Linked DNA regions of Kluyveromyces lactis. The protein of the gene in region 1 purifies or fractionates together with the protein of each later gene. This does not show direct contact. Links are inferred from orthologs where the notes say so. Each region holds a gene or a part of one and is shown on either strand. Other genes may lie near its edges.

Region 1 (3,637 bases):
ATATGTTTGGAGTTCTCACCCCCATGGTATTGACAGCCGTACTATCCAGGGACATAGCTTAAGTGATTCAACAGGCAACCATATACTAGCATAATAAGTTGTGCTGGTCGATATAGTAATATAAGACGGAGAAAAAAAAAAGAGAGGATAAGTAGATTGAGTAGATTGATTGGCTATATTGTATGATTGAGCCATCACGGTTAAGACCGGCCAGTTTAGTAATACTGATTCTTTTGAAATTATCGTAGTAGGACAGGCGATTGGAATGAATGGAGGAAGAAGCTGATTGATTAAATTTACAGGCGATAGCGCCTGAAAAAGAAAAAATGAAGGCATTCGTATTCCAAACCTGGGCATACAAGCAAAGGTGGGGAACAAAGTCCAGGAACCTTTAGTGGAATTCGTAGAGATGGTTAGTATTGAAACCCACGATTCATATTAATTCAGGGCAAAAAGAATAAGACCCTATAGAGCAACCAAATAAAGTGTGCTGAAAAAGTGCATTGATTATGATACATTTAGTTATAGTCAATTTTGGTTAATGTACAATCAACATTAGTGAGATTTTTGAAACGCGCAAGGATTGTCGAGTATTTGAAAATATTCAATAGCGTCTAGAGGTACAATATGCGTGGTATGTGGACAAAGCCTAATTTTTTAACAAATACAAAATAATGACAAGAACTGAAATTGGACCTGAATTTCAACTCATAGGATCGACTTGGGTTTTGAGTAGTAAAAGTGGGAAATTAAGATAAAAAAAAAAACTGCTCCGTTAGAAGCAAGCATTAAAACAATGCTTAATTCATTATTGAGGAGCTTGAGTGTATTGTTGTTGTGGGAAGCCTTTTGATGGGAAAGGTTGAGGTGGATAAGCCTGTTGTTGGTAGTTTTGCGGCATTAGAGGCTGACCATATTGCTGTTGTTGTTGGTTTGGGAATTGTTGATATTGTTGTTGTTGTTGTTGCTGTTGTTGTTGCTGTTGCTGCTGAGGAGGAGCATGGAATTGCACTTGAGTTTGTTGAGGAGGCAACGGTTCAGCATTTGCAGGTTGTTGGGGAGCATTTGCAGTGATTGGCAGGGATTCCAAAGGGAATGGGATTGGGACTGCGGAACTATCTTCCGCAACGTACAAGGATTTATCAATTTGAGATGGGATAGGAGCAATTTCGGTGTTTAATTCTTGCTCGATCTTGTACAAGTTGAATCTATCGTTCCAGTTAATCAAGTTGATAGCCAAACCCAAGTGACCGAACCTACCAGATCTACCAATACGATGCAAATAAGTTTCGGCAGTCTTTGGGAAATCGAAGTTAATGACCACATTAACGGCTTGAATATCGATACCACGAGTTAACAAATCGGAACAAACCAACGTACGAACTTTACCTTGGCGGAATTCATGGAAGACTTTGTTTCTTTCGGATTGTTTCATTCTAGCATGTGAGTAGTAACAAGAAAATCCTAATTCAGTAATTTTTTTAGCCAAAAGTTCGACACGGTTAGTAGAATTACAAAAGATAATTGCTTGGTTGATTTGCAATTTACTGAACAAAGTGTTCAAGCAATGAAGTTTTTGTTTTTCTTCCACGAATGCATAAAATTGTGATATACCCTTTAGTGTCAATTCATCCATCAAATTAATCTCATGAGGGTTTTTCAAATGCTTCACCATGAACTCTTTCACGGTGACTGGGAAAGTCGCACTGAACAAAAGCAGTTGACGACGTTCTGGTAAGAACCCAAGTATTTGTTCCGCCAACACTTTAAAGTCACGACTTAACATCTTATCCGCTTCATCCATAATGAACAAATGACATTCGCTCAAATCTGTCACTCTTCTTGATGCCAAATCTAGCACTCTACCGGGCGTACCCACCAAAATGTGTACAGGTTCATTTAATCTCATGATGTCATCTCTCAAATTCGTACCACCAGTGGTAACCATACAAGAGATACCACAGTGTTTCCCTAGCGTGCGCACCACTTGTGATGTTTGCAAAGCCAACTCTCTTGTAGGAACCATAATCAATGCTTGAATTTTGTTCAACTTGGGCTTCACTTTTTCCAAAGTTGGTATAACGAACGCTGCCGTCTTACCAGTACCGTTCTTGGCACGCGCTAATATATCCTTCCCGGCAATGGCAACGGGAATAGCTTCTTCTTGGATTGGGGAAGGCTTCTCAAACCCTGCTTCAAATATACCCATCAAAAGTTCTCTTTTCAAATAGAAATCTTCAAACGAACGACCCTTCGTGTTCAACACATCATCAGTCTGAGGCCTCGTATCCTTTTTAGGAATATTCAACTGGGTCTTCCAGTCGTTATTACTTTCGCTTGTATCGCTGCCCATATTATCAATTATCTTTAATATTCTTTGCAGATAAAGTTAAACCTTCTTAAATAAAGCTTCAATGAATTAGTCAATTAATAAAATTAGTCAATTAGTGTATATCCGGAAACTATGCTGTTGCTAATATCACAGAGTAGAATGTATAAATACTATACCTATGACCATAATACACATGTTATACTTTTATTTCCTCTTGTGCCTCTGTAATAATTGTTCAAATTAATTCTAAACTTCATAATTTTTTCTTCTTTCCAGAGTGGAGGGAAGAGCAATGTTACCCTACTGAAGCAATTACAAGTGCGGGTAACGGATATCACCCTTTTCACAAAATCCGAATTGTCACGTGATAAGAAAAGTGAAGACATGTCCGGGTAACAAATATGCCAAGGGCTAAGCTCAGCACCGTGAGGCTTCTCTATCACTTGTAGCGATAAGGTACGATGCAGTGCGAATAATGGGAATGCCTAGACAAAAATATATATAGATGTATCAGCGCATATGAGCGTACGTTGAAATGAGAATGCTCGAGGCAACTAGGCATTCCCATTACGTTCAATAGCAGAAGTGACTTCCTTTCATTTTCTTGTTCTATTCGTGGTTCCGTTGAGGACCACACTAATTTATCATGCACCGTATAAATAAAAAGTAGCGTAATAATTAAGTAATGATAAAGAAAGCCTATACAAGGCTAAGCAGTAACTCAGAAGAAGAAAGAGACGATTACTGAGGCAGCAAGGAGTGTTGCAAAGAGCCAACGTGTGTTGTTTTTTGGAACCTGGTGGGGTCTTTCTATTAGGGTTTCTAGTTGCATTTTAATTTTTGTCTCATTTTACAATCATCTGAGCCTGTAAGTTTGGCTTTGGTATTAATATCTATTATTGATCGTAAAACTTTAATATCTCCAAAGAGAAGAGGCGCAGAAAGTGGTGAACATTGAGGTCAGATTGACTTAAAAGCATATGATTACACGTACCCAAAACGGCTCGATGTTATTGAATCGAATAAACCATGAACCGTCGAATGATAGTGCAGAGGGATCGTGCAATAGTTTGTTCAAACCGAAGACTTTGAAACGGAAGAATTTGAAGCATTTGACTCTAGAATCATCATGTTCATCATCATCTTCCTCTCCTGACGAAATACCGAAAGGTTTTAGTAATGGAAATGGTCCAACACTCAGTTTGATGTTGGAGAAGCTTCCGGTCCGTGAGGAAATAAGTCCAATTAGCAGAGACACTTCATTCCAGACGGTTTCATTCCTTCAAGGGAGTTCTAGTACATCAG
Region 2 (2,131 bases), on another chromosome or scaffold:
ATTTCTGGCATATTTCAATGTTGATTTTGTTCTTGTGGTTCGATTTTAATGCCGTTAGAAGATTTTGAGCATGAGATGATTCTAATTTGTGTGTGAATAATGTCACTACGCGAGGTTGAAATTGGATGGTTTTAAACATAGACATGATGAATTGAAGATACTGATTGTCAATGTCCCCCTCTATAAAAAATTCGAACTTTTACTCAGTTAAATACTTCAGTCTAATTAAGTCAGGTCACCCCAGTAATTGTTGCTGCCTTTATATACGCAATACTAAATTAAGACATCTTTGAAATATGTACATTTTGGAAATCATACTATTATCCCTCAAATACGCATGGCAGGGAAACAAAATCCCGGAAAATCCAGCAATCAATACTATGATACGGAGTCATGACGTCCCTACTTAGTATCCGGATTGGCAGCACCTTTCACCTACTTGGAAACAGAATCATCAAGCTAACCATTTGTGCCTTGTCTGTGCAATGACTATGCGGTCCTGTAGCAAAGGTAGTCATCCTATAGTTACCCTGCCTCAACGTTACCATACATTTTTTTTCTTCAATTCGTTTCAGCTAGCTCAACATCAAATGGAATTGCAATGAACTGCCAAAAAGATGAATCGTTGGACGCTTTAACGGCCTATTTATCCTTCAAGTGATACCCAGAACTATCACAATCAGTGTTGAATTTTACAATTCATTATAATCTTTTTTTTTTTTTTCACTTGCTCATTGAAAGAATCAGAGTCTCAAATTACAAATGTCCTCTTCGTCTCCGAATAGCGACAGAGCAAGTTCAGTAGGAGTTACTGAACCAGTGGCTTCCGATGTGGAAGAAAATCGTCCTAAGTCCAAGCTATCAGAAGGTGAAGCAGATTTATATTTGGACCAATACAATTTCACAACTACAGCTGCCATTGTTGGCTCAGTAGACCGCAAGATATTCGTACTATTGCGCGATGGCCGTATGTTCTTCGGTGTACTAAGGACGTTTGATCAATATGCCAACTTAATACTACAGCATACGGTGGAAAGAATATATATCGAGGGTGAGAATAAATATGGTGAATGTGACAGAGGAGTTTTCATGATAAGAGGTGAAAACGTTGTTATGTTGGGCGAAGTAGACATCGATAAGGAGGATGCACCATTGGAATCGATGGAACGTGTTCCATTTGAGGAAGCTGAAAGCTATAAGGAGAAAATGGACGAGGTGAAATACAAGGAGAACACTGCTAAGGGTAAGAGACTAGCGCAGCTTGGTTTAACTACCGATTTCAATAAAGGTGATTTGTATTAAGTATAAGATTATAATTAGTTTAAAAGACAAGCAAAAAAAAATCGTAAAACATACAATTCGAAACTAAACTAAACTAAACTAAATCATTACACAAACTGGAGATCGTGTGGTTTTGAAGGGTATTTATCTTTTGATACTCAATTATATATCACATAGAGATATATATATTCACTTATATATGGTTCGGTACTGTACTATTCATAATAAGTAAAATGCATAGATAGCGCGGCATGGCATTCCAAAAAAAAAAAAAAAAAAATTAATGGGACAATAATCCCCATTTGACATAAAATAGAACCATTATAACGGTCAAAATTAATTCTTAACTAACGGATCAACTCATTTGCCAGCGAGCGTCGTTAATTCTTGATCGTATGTCTTTTGAAATTTGTTATAATTACTGATTTCCAACCTCCCCAGTTGTGATATTAATGATTCGTCCGGCGTATCATTAATTCTTAGCGATCGACTCACTTGCCACATATGTGACAAGGGTGTTTGTGTTGAACAGAGTCCGTAACATCCATGCAACTGGATAGACCAATCCACCAGTGACGAGATTTCCTTTGGTGTCACGGCTTTCACCATCCCAATTTCTTCTCTTGCCGCTTTTACACCTTCGTAATCACATTTGATTGCCGCGTTGAAACAAAGCAGCTTACAGGTTTCAATCTTAATCCTCCAATGAGCAAGATCAAATTTGAAATACTCACTCTTCTGTAATTTGGAACCAAACACTTTCCTTTCAGCAGCTCTCTTATTGGAAAGTCTCAAGGATTCTTGTCCCATACCACAAAGTTTTAAGCATTGAAATAATTTTGTAACAGAG

Evidence for each region.
Region 2: the proteins of DHH1 (region 1) and LSM1 purify together in Saccharomyces cerevisiae (affinity purification with mass spectrometry; 6 studies listed by BioGRID, with this or other methods). This does not show direct contact. The link is inferred for Kluyveromyces lactis from reciprocal best matches to the Saccharomyces cerevisiae genes DHH1 and LSM1.

The regions. Positions count from the first base shown.
Region 1 is NC_006039.1:1,452,371-1,456,007, reverse strand, and holds DHH1 (DExD/H-box ATP-dependent RNA helicase DHH1), read right to left. Parts: upstream 2,354-3,637; coding exon 809-2,353; downstream 1-808. Other genes in the region: mitogen-activated protein kinase kinase STE7, read left to right, coding at 3,313-3,637. UniProt on the Saccharomyces cerevisiae protein: ATP-dependent RNA helicase involved in mRNA turnover, and more specifically in mRNA decapping by activating the decapping enzyme DCP1.
Region 2 is NC_006041.1:1,348,595-1,350,725, forward strand, and holds LSM1 (Lsm1p), read left to right. Parts: upstream 1-762; coding exon 763-1,302; downstream 1,303-2,131. Other genes in the region: FMP46 (putative redox protein), read right to left, coding at 1-145; KLLA0_E15181g (uncharacterized protein), read right to left, coding at 1,642-2,131. UniProt on the Saccharomyces cerevisiae protein: Component of the cytoplasmic LSM1-LSM7 complex which is involved in mRNA degradation by activating the decapping step.